Ovis aries: one gene and its partners. The protein of the gene in region 3 interacts with the protein of the main gene of each other region in a pairwise test. Links are inferred from orthologs where the notes say so. Each region holds a gene or a part of one and is shown on either strand. Other genes may lie near its edges.

Region 1 (3,488 bases), on a different chromosome or scaffold from region 3:
GAAAGGACAGTGACATCACTCCTTGAGTCGAAGGGCACTGTGGTTCATCCACCTGCAGAGGGCAAGGAGGCTCTATGGTGCTGACGAGTGAGTTGCAGAATCAGACTTCGGGACCCACTACCATCATCAGCACAGTGATGAGCAGGAATACAGGGGCTGCTAGATCCCAATTCCTTGCTCCCCTCTGATTAGTGAAAGAAACTGATTTTCTCTCTAACCTAAATATTATATTCTCCTTGTCTCTGGTTCTGCCTCCAGATCTAGAGGAAATAGTCAGTGACACTTTGAACTGGCAGAGGGACAAGCTGCCCCCTGAGTTTTATCTTCTGAGGGGGTCTGAGCAGAGGGAGCCAGTGCAGGGTTAAGTTTCTGCCCTCCTGGTCGTCTCAGTCTTCATGTCCAGCCCTCGTTGTTTTGTCTCTGCTATGATGCTCTAGCCCTTGGTATTTGTAACAGGTTGGGAAAGCGAGGGGTGCTTTTCCTCTGACGGGTTGGGTAAGCCTCACTACAGAGAAGTCACCTCCTGCATCCTGCCTGTGCCCTTCTCCCCTTGTCCTTCTTCAGAACCCCCTTGCAGCATCAATATCATTTAGCAAGCATCCACCACAGGCCAGCTCTGTGCCAAGTTGTTTACTAAGATCCCTACATTCTTGCATTCAAGCCTACTGTGTATTTTACAGAGGAGGAAACAGAAGCTTGAACTAATCCAGTTGCCTTCCCAGGTTCATCCAGCAAGTTAAATGGTCAAGGCAGGATTCCAACCCTGGCACTTCGGACTCATTTACACTCAAACTGTCTCTGCTAATGTGTTCTTCTTCCCAGAAAAAGAAAAAACTAAGTTGCAGAAGCAGAGAGAAGATGAGCTCATCCAGAAGATCCATAAACTGGTGCAGAAGAGAGACTTCCTGGTGGACGACGCCGAGGTTGAGCGGTTAAGGTAAGTGGGCAGTGTGTCCCCTGGGCAGGGCTGGGCTGTTAGAATGCAGCTCAGCTTCCTTCCAAAGCCCGTCATCTGCTCCCAGACTCACAGCTTTGCAACGGGTGTGTCCTGGCCCAATGCTTCCCAAACACTAGATCCAGATGAATCCTTCTGGCCCAAGCCCCCACGGCCTATTCAAGAGAAATTTAAATCCAGCTTCAAAAAGTTTTGCAAAGGCCTGTGGATCTTAAGTGAATGTCATCTGAGAAGGTGACCAGGGAGGAATTATATCACAGAGCACACGGAAGAGCTTCCTACACCTTCTTTTTACTGAACTTTCTCCCAACTCGTCAAGGCACCTTTTCCAGAAACTTCAATTCGTTTCTACAGAAACTCTGCCCTCTGTCCTAACTTGCTTCTTCATCCACCCTCCCCACTTCCCAGCTCTGTTCTCTCCCTTCCTGTCTCCTGGGGGCCTCTGATGCCCCTCCCTAGCCTTCGGGGTCTCCTGTTTGCAGATGCCCCTGCCCTGTTGATCTGGTCAGCCATGGGCCCTGGAGCCACAGTGCTCCTGAAGTCTCTGCAGAGGACCAGAGGGCACGAAAGATGCCAGTGTTGATTCTTGAATTTTTTTGTGCTGGAGCAAAATCTTGAGAGTCATCCACAGGGCAGAGGCTCAACGGGTCTCTTGCAAACCAGAAGACAACTTCCCTTTAATTCTCTGTGACCTTCCGAGTCCTCCAAGGTTGCTAGGATGCACTTTGCCCAGCTCAGCCAGGCTCGGACCATTGGCTTTGTTTCTGGTGACCCTTGGGAGAGCTGAGGTGGCTTGCCTTTGAGACCTGCTGCATTCTTTGTCTAAGGTAACTTAAAGGTGCAGGATCAGGAGAGGGATTGCCCAGCTCACTAAATCTCTGGTAGGGAGGCTGGGTCCTCTAACACCCCTGCCTCTGCCCTAGGGTCTCACACCAGCGGGCGTGGGCATTTACTCCATCACTGATATGTGTTTCTGCTTCAGAATAGATTCATCAAACAACACACACCCACCCACCCACTGTACACACATAACAACATGTGCCCACCACCCCCACACAAAACATAACACACATATACCACCCACATGTAACTCACATGTGCCATCCGCACATAACATGTGCACCAGTCACACACAGTACACATCAGCATATATGTACCACCCACATATAACACAGCAATATACACGCACCATCCATAAAGTCTGATACGTGATCCCACACTCTTGCCTCATTTTATTAGTTCCTTGATGCTCTCCTGGCTTACTGTTCTTTCCTGTCTTTACACATCTGTCTCCACAGGGAGCAAGAAGAAGATAAGGAAATGGCCGATTTTCTGAGAATCAAGTTAAAACCTCTAGACAAAGTAACCAAATCTTCAGCCAGTGAGTGCCTACACTATTCCTTCTCCTCCCACATCCGAGAGAAAAGGAAATTTAAATGAGGTCTGGAAGCCAAGGGGACGCAACATAAATGCTTTCTAGAGATCAAACTTGAGCACAGGATGGCAGCAGGCAGGGGCAGCTTCACGGGAGAGGAAGCCCAAGGACCCACACCTAGAAGGGCACTGTGCTTGCTTTCATGTCCTACTATTGCTGTCTTGGAAGTCAAATTTTCCAACAAGAGGCCCTGCCTTTTCATTTTGCACTGAGTCCTGCAAACTGTGTGGCTAGTGCTGGCAGCTAGTCCTTGCTCATATGATTTGGTACAGTTCATAGAGTTGGCCACTGAGGCAAGAAGGTGGGAACTAAGGCTCGGGAAGCTCTGGCCTCTGTTGGAGTTGGAGGAACAAAGGCAGAAGTTTGCTTCTCAGAATACCAGCCTCACAAGATACTCAAAGCAAAAAGGGTTCTGGGTGAAGTAAGTTTGGGAAATGCTGTGCACTTGACCACTCTTTGTAGGCTTCCAATACCCATTAGCATATTAAAGTGATAAGTCCTGCTGGATAGGAACTGCCTTCTTGTTGGCCAAGTGAGACCACTTTGAGTTATAAGAAATGGGTGTCCAATTCAAACTGGCCCTAGCAGTAAAAGGTGATTTGCTGGAAAAAGAGCAGTGGGAGCCAGGGCTCCAGGGACTGGACACCCTCGCTTTCTTTCTGGTTATCCACTTGGCACCTCTTGTCATGCTAGCTTCATTTCCTCCTCCTACACAGGCCTTCCTGGGGCTAGAAATCCAGGACCATAACTTAGCAGAAGCAAGGCAACAACTGGTATTTAAATGTGTAAGATTCTGACCAGCCTTTCTTGGATCACGTTCCCACCTGCTAGGCCCATCGAAGGGGCTGGGAAATTGTGATTTTCTGGATCCCGGTCACTTGCCCGCCCCTGTAGCCATAAGGGCATGAGCTGTTATCAGAGGAAGAGCGACGGACAGTCTTGTTAGGAAGACAAAACCCCACCCAAAGCTGCCACTACCAGCTGAAGCCACAAACCAGTTTTTCCCTAACTATCCATTGATAATATTCCATGAAAACACATTTGTACTGTGTGAAGGAATAAAGAAAGAGAAGGGCCCTTCCTTTTTCAGGCCCCTAA
Region 2 (3,709 bases), on a different chromosome or scaffold from region 3:
ATGGGGAACAATGCCGAGCATCTCTGTTGCTGTTCAGTTGCTCAGTTGTGTCCAACTCTGAGATCCCAGGCACTGCAGTATGCCAGGTATCCCTGTCCTTCACTATATTCCAGAGTTTGCTCAAACTCATGTCTATTGAGCCAGTGATGCCATCCAACCATCTCATCCTCTGTTGCCCCCTTCTCCTCCTGTCCTCAATCTTTCCCAGCATCAAGGTCTTTTCCGATGAGTTGGCTGTTTGCATCAGTCACAAAAATATTGGAGCTTCAGCTTCAGCACCAGTCCTTCCAATGAATATTCAGGGTTGATTTCCTTTAGGATTGACTGGTTTGATCTCCCTGCCATCTAAGGGACTCTCAATGAAAAACAGAAAGTGCTCTCAAGTTATATCATGACAAGTAATAAAAATTATCTTACCCTGAATCCATTCTTGTTTCTTCTTCTTATCTGAAGCACTGATCTCAAAGGTCTTCTCGAAACATTTTATGAGAAAAAGGCATTTCTTTCCATCTTTGTCAGGCAAGGGCTAAGACAGAAAGCAAAATTAGTCTTTCAAATTTTACTTTCAAGTACTTAAATTCAAACTTAATTACTTATACAAGAAGTACCTATAAATGAATGTTACTGATTTATTTATGCTGCCCTCTAGGCAACAATACTTGTTGTAAAAATCACCCCAGATTAGCATACGACATCTAGACTGGGAGAACCAACATCACTTGATGGGCCATGATATGGCCTTTCCTGAGCACAGCAAACCTTGTACATTGCACCTTATACCTGAACACATCTCTCACAGGAATCCTGGAAAATATGCCCATGGAACTGTTCCAATAGGTATAGACACCCAGGGTGATTCCCACACCCTGCAGATGCGTCTCTCCCTTCCTTGCACCAGGGTGTTGTTGCTAGCAAGCTGTGGTTCTTGTCCTAAATCCTTATAAGTAGACTGGCACAGTCTATCATAATCCTGTGAGTCTCCATGTTTAACTGAATCTAAGAAGACCCCTTACTGGGCACTGCATACCCGTAATATTAACACATACCACTTCATCCATCAAGACACATTATCATTTATGAATGAGATCTTAGGTATTTTAAATGTTCTTCAACAAATACAGATATGATAATAATTCAGACACAAAATAAAAATTCAAAACATTATGTTCTTGAGGATTTCACCTATTTACAGAATTAGCAGTGATAAAGTGTTCTGAAAAGTCATACCAATTATTCAAAGACATGTTCTTTTGGTTTATTTATTACACTCCAAAATGGCCCAGGTTCTCAGACACACTCATGATTTCAAACACTGTCTTACTGATTTTTTTTGGCTTTGTTTTCTTATTTATGACTCCATTTTACTCAAGAAATGATTCCTTAAATATACAAATAAATGAGATTTAATCCCTATACATTATTCTCAAATACAAGACAGAAAATAAATTCACATTAGAAAAAAATTTTTTGTCAGGTATCTGTAATTTTTTGGTTCAGAAACTATGGTTACTGTATGTGTATATTATTTTAGAAATGTGAATTTTAAGATTATTTTTAAAGCTCTAGAGTCTAGAAGGAAGATAAACTACTTGAACAGCAGGCGGCAGCACTGGAAAGAAGTAACCACTGACTCTTACCTCCACACAGCAGTTCTCATCCAAGAGAATGTCTCCTTTCTTATCTTTCAGATCCTCGCTCACATAATAAGAAATTATGTTGGGTTTTAATACAAACCAGCGTTCAGTCCAGTTTTTCCGTCTATGGCCTTTCTTTATCATGTAACCCTAGGTAAGATTAAATCTGATATAAATGCTGGTGCTTTTCCTTATAAGAGCTGGTATCTCTTCCTTTTAACACACACACACACACACACACACACACACACACACACACACACACCCCTCTTCCCCGGCCCCCCACACACACCTCTTCCTTTTAACACACACACCCTAACTGTGATTCTCAGTAAATCTGCTGCTGCTGCTAAGTCACATCAGTCGTGTCCGACTCTGTGCGACCCCATAGACGGCAGCCCACCAGGCTCCCCCGTCCCTGGGATTCTCTAGGCAAGAACACTGGAGTGGGTTGCCATTTCCTTCTCCAATGCATGAAAGTGAAAAGTGAAAGTGAGGTCGCTCAGTCATGCCCAACTCTTACTGACCCCATGGACTGCAGCCCACCAGGCTCCTCTGTCCGTGGGAGTTTCCAGGCAAGAGTACTGGAGTGGGTCGTCAGTGCCTTCTCCGCTCAGTAAATCTACACCCATTATTGAAAATGCTAAAAGGTGTCAGCAAACCTGGCCAAGCATGCCTTCTCAGACAATCACTCTCTGGTACCAGTGTACCTCTCTACCTGACCTCTCAGGATTCCAAAGGAGCAGAAGATGAACTGGACCAGTAGTCAGGATCCTGGCTTCTAAGTATAGCTTTTAGCTCACACTTACTAGACTTGTATTTTCTTCCCATATGTCAGCCTCAAAGATGTGTGATCCAAAATTTTATTTCAGCAAGACTACACATTACTACAGGCCAAAACACTTTAGGATTGTTCAAGATTTACACAGTAAATCTACAGGTGCTGATAGCGTGTGGCAGACTATACACATCATCAAATATATAATAATATTTTGGCTGTATCATGTGATCATTATATTAAGTTCTAATCACATTACTCGTTCAGTTTGCTAGCTCTTGACATTTAAACCAAGGCTATCTCATACTGCCGTTCATCTGCAGTTCTATATTCTGCCATCCTAATGGGCCTGGAAATCCTCTTCAGAGACCATGTTTCCTAACCTCTTACAGCACCAAAAACCTACACAAATTAAGCCTCAATTAAAGTTTATTGATAGGCTACATCTGAAGAAAAGAGAAAAACAACATCATTACCTAAGAGAGCAAAACAAGGACCAACCAGTAAGAGTTATTATTCAATATAATAAAGTAAGACATCTGAAAGACCCATTCAAAATATATAAATTCTATTTACTAAGCATTAAGTTTATTAAACAGACTATGTATGTCAGCATATGTATACCATAAATATTATCAGATGCTATGCAGGTACTGAGAATACAAACTTTATAACCTAATACGATAAACACAACTTTATTACATAAGGGCACTTTTCCCCAAAAGGAAGCATATTTTTCTGATTTCATAAAAATTATACATAGCCTATAGAGAGGTTAACATACATAAACATTATAGTAGTAAGCCCAATAATAAGAAAAGAAAAAGAATAAAGTAAAATTCATAGAAATCTCACAACCCAGCAGTGATCACTTCTAACATTTTGGCCCCATCCCTCCAGACAGCTCCACACACACATATCACACTGCATGAAAGGGATTACAAGACACCTGCTGGTCCACAACCCGTTTTCTTCACTGAAGAGTGTGCCAGGGCACCTTTCAGATGAGTGAGTATAGATGTACACATGACATGAAAGTACCATGTTCAGAAACGTGATCATTTAAACAGCGCTTTCAAAACAGTAACTTCCCAGTGTTTAACTGTAATTATTTACAATGTACGCCTAACACAAGACTGAGAAAATAAGAAATTTTATTCCTGTTCTAAATTAGCATAAAAATATAAGTGACTTAGGCTCATCTTTGGGATAAAAATGTTTTATTCGGAACGTCAAATTCTAAAGGTGAGGAGAAACAGTGTTACAGGATGCTTACCTGTTTCAGCACATCTAATAT
Region 3 (3,709 bases):
CGCTTGGTGGAATAACCATGGTGGACATTAATTGCCGCTAAAATGTAGTTACTAAATAAATTCAGAGGGTGGGAGAGGATATAAGGTTCAGATCTGGGAAGAGATAGGAGGTTTAGGATAGAGAAACATGGAGAAGGAGGAGAGGACAGACACAAAAGGGGAAGCCTAGGATAGCAAAGAGAAATGACTCAGACTGTGATATTTTGCCAAGGCATCTCTGTGTTTTAATGCTCATGAACTGGTTCAGGTGTGTGCAGGGTTATTTGGTCCGGAACAGTGTGACATATTTACAGCTTTACTAGAATATCACCTCTGAACCCCAGAACCCACACCAGCACACTGAACATACCAGGTCTGTAAGCAAGGCTCTTTGGCCCTAGAGCATTCATTAGTCACTGCGCTGCTCGAATAACACTACATCAACCCTTCACTTATCAGGCCAAAGTGGAAACAGGGAGCCCCTCAGCCACACTGCACCTCAGACTCACCCTCAGGATCCGGTTGAAATCCTCCTTGTCTACTCTTAAGAAATGGCAGTTATCTTCTCTCAAGACGATGGAGGCAGCTCTCGGGGCATCATTCACTAGGGCTAACTTGCCAAAGTCATCGCCCTCATGCAGGGTACAGACCACACCCTGGAGAGAACAAATCATGCAGATGAAGGTGATCCCTGGAACAGGACACACACCCATCCACCTCACACCACAAGCCCCCCTGCCCCGAAAATACTGAATATATATCCACAGGCTGTACCCAGAGATGTCACGGGGGAGGGGATCACAGAATTACATTATAGTGTTTCATTTTCCTTTCATTGAGTAATATGTGCTAGGACCTAACTTACATATCTACTTTATAATCCATGAGTCCCAGAAAGTTCAGTGTTACTCTGAGTATAAAAACTTAGACAATATATGATTCGAGAGGCCATAATGTCTTTTCTACATTGAGTAACAATGGTGTAGCAAGTTTAACTATAGTATTACACTGTTAATACTTAGAGCCAGTAGTAAATGCAGCATGATAAGGTTTCAAAAGAAAAAAATATATACCTTGCCATAAATGACTACATTCACTGATCCTTTTAGGATAATGTACCAGGAGGTGCCTTCTTCCCCTTGGTTAAATACTAGATACAAAAAGAAAAAAAGACTCATGACAAGAATAGAAGCACATCAATATAAATTACAGCTTATCAAATCATCATTTTAAAGGCCTCAGAATTATGCATTTAATTCCAGAAGGGGGGAAAAAAAAGCTAGCAAATACTAACTTATTCAGGCGGAATATTACTTCCTTTTCTTCAGAACATGAAATAAACAGGAACACTGTACTCCTTGCTATGTCCTACAGATATACGTTTACTATTAATTCTCCAGCAATCCATTCCTTAAAGCAATCCACTTCCCTCCACAATTCATCAAAACTTACTAAGCTATAGAACATAGTTTTTAAAACTAATCTGACCAATAACATGAAGTTTGTTATCATTTAGTCGCTCAGTTGTATTCAATTCTTTTCTGACCCCATGGACTGTAGCCCGCCAGGCTCCTCTATCCATGGAATTTTCCAGGCAAGAATACTAGAGTGGGCTGCCATTTCCTTCTCCAGGGGATCTTCCTGACCCAGGTGTCAAACCCACGTCTCCTGTATCAGCAGGCAGATTCTTTACCACTGAGCCACCAAGAAGCCCAGTGTGAAGTCTGAAAACATGCAAATCAGCACTACATACTGTTGATGGATACATATCTACATATATATATTTTTTAAATGGGTTGGAATGATTACCACATGATATAGGGTAGGAGTTACCTTGGAGAGGAAAAGAGAAGAATGAGATAATAAAGGAAACAGAGACTCTTCAAATGTAGGATTTCATTTTTTAGAAAATATAAAAAATGAAAATATGAAAAAATAGAGTGTCAGGTTAATACTTGATAAAAGTGTTTTTAAAAAAGGTTTTGTAACACTCTCCAGTGATTCATCTGAAATACTTAAATATTTCATAATAAAATGATCAGAAAGATTGAAGGAAAAGCACAAAAGAAGTTGTAAGTCACCAGTAATATAAACATTTTTTAAATGTTAATGTGAATATTTAAAACATAAAGAAAAAACATTCTTATTAAAGTAACTATCGATATTAGATGTACACTTTTGAGGACTAAAAGTAAATATTTGAAACATCGATGTTAACTCTCTTTGCTTTTATAGTTCATGGTCTCTGTTTGTTTGACTAACACAACTCAATCTGAAGAAAGAGCAAGATTTTCCAAAGATGGTCTCTTGAAAAGTTAACAGGTATCCATTAAAAGTGTTTTCTATGTTTCATTAGGTTAAGGTAGTATCAGTTTAAGTGGTGTGAAATTTTTCCTTATTGTAGAACTCCCAAGAAACAGAGCATGCTGGTGTGTCTTACAATTCTCCAAGAGAAATTAGAGGAGGCGTTTCGTGTCTTGAATACCCCACTCACCATGTTTTCCAAGAATGGTTTTGTAGGGAGGAGTGGGAAATGCTAGTCAAAATAATTCCGCTCACATTTATTAATATGAAATTTCAATTTCTTAAGAGGCCTTCTGACTTCCCCAGTGGGCTCACACAGTAAAGAATCCACCTGCCATGTGGGAGACCTGGGTTCCCTCCCAGGGTCAGGAAGATCCCCTGGAGGAGGGCATGGCAACCCACTCCAGTATTCTTGCCTGGAGAATCCCATGGACAGAGGAGCCTGGAGGGCTACAGTCCATGTCTGAAAGAGTCAGACACAACGGAACGACTTAACGCCTTCACTTTCAATTTCTTGCTCCAAAATATGATCACAGAACTAAACTACGGCATACTTACTGGAGAGATACTACATAGTGAAAGGGAAGTGAAGCTGCTCAGTTCTGTCCGACTCTTTGCGACCCCGTGGACTGTGGTCTACCAGGCTTCTCAGTCCATGGAATTTTCTAGGCAAGAGTACTGGAGTGGGTTGCCATTTCCTTCTCCACTACATAGTAGTACTACATAAATATCTGGGCAAAGAAATTCTCTCAGGCTTGGAGTTGATAGTGGACGCGTGAGAAGCAAGCAGGAGAGTATGCTATTCTAAGTAGCCTCTCAAGAGACAGATTAGGTCTTCCCAAGCCACAAAACTGAAGTGAGGTCACTGTGTGAAGGTTTTGCTTGCACTCTGCTCTGAAGACAGTGTGACTTCATCCCACCCGCTTTAAACACGACCTTGAGCCAGCAGGGGAGGGAGCAAGTGGAGATGCTGGCTGGTAAGTGCTCCCGTGCTGGTACCTGACACCCACCAGCCACAGCCATGCTGGGAATAATCACGGGTCCAGAAAAGCAAACGCGCCATGTGACATCCTGGCAAGTCTGTCTCAGGCCTAAGAAAGGGGAGCATTTATAGTCAGGCTCCAGGGGCACACGCTCAGGAGGGGGCACGCCAGGCACCGCACACCATTACAGCCTTCACTTACACACAGTCCCTCCTTTGGCATGAGACTCAAAAATGAGAACCGCTGCCAACTCCCGTTTCACCTAGAAGAAAAAGAGAAAGAGTGCAGGGAAGAGCCGGATTTCGGGGTGTGGGAAGGGACTTGCTCTCTTTCAGCGCAAACTCCCACCCAGCCGCCTCCCACTCGGCCTGGCTGCTCCTCTCACCTAGAACTTCCACTACATGGGCCACTAGGTTTTGGTTTTTTAACTGAAGTATAGTTGA

The links. The genes of interacting proteins can lie anywhere in the genome.
Region 1: the proteins of RAPGEF4 (region 3) and BMERB1 interact in binary tests that used the Homo sapiens proteins (3 or more experiments, as listed by UniProt). The link is inferred for Ovis aries from reciprocal best matches to the Homo sapiens genes RAPGEF4 and BMERB1.
Region 2: the proteins of RAPGEF4 (region 3) and SWAP70 interact in a two-hybrid assay, tested with the Homo sapiens proteins (2 studies listed by BioGRID and IntAct). The link is inferred for Ovis aries from reciprocal best matches to the Homo sapiens genes RAPGEF4 and SWAP70.

Annotation. Positions count from the first base shown.
Region 1 is NC_056077.1:14,515,499-14,518,986, forward strand, and holds part of BMERB1 (bMERB domain-containing protein 1), read left to right. Parts: intron 1-822; coding exon 823-937; intron 938-2,253; coding exon 2,254-2,336; intron 2,337-3,488.
Region 2 is NC_056068.1:42,644,838-42,648,546, forward strand, and holds part of SWAP70 (switch-associated protein 70), read right to left. Parts: coding exon 3,689-3,709; intron 1,785-3,688; coding exon 1,638-1,784; intron 527-1,637; coding exon 418-526; intron 1-417.
Region 3 is NC_056055.1:136,921,010-136,924,718, forward strand, and holds part of RAPGEF4 (rap guanine nucleotide exchange factor 4), read right to left. Parts: intron 3,529-3,709; coding exon 3,468-3,528; intron 1,130-3,467; coding exon 1,053-1,129; intron 636-1,052; coding exon 489-635; intron 1-488.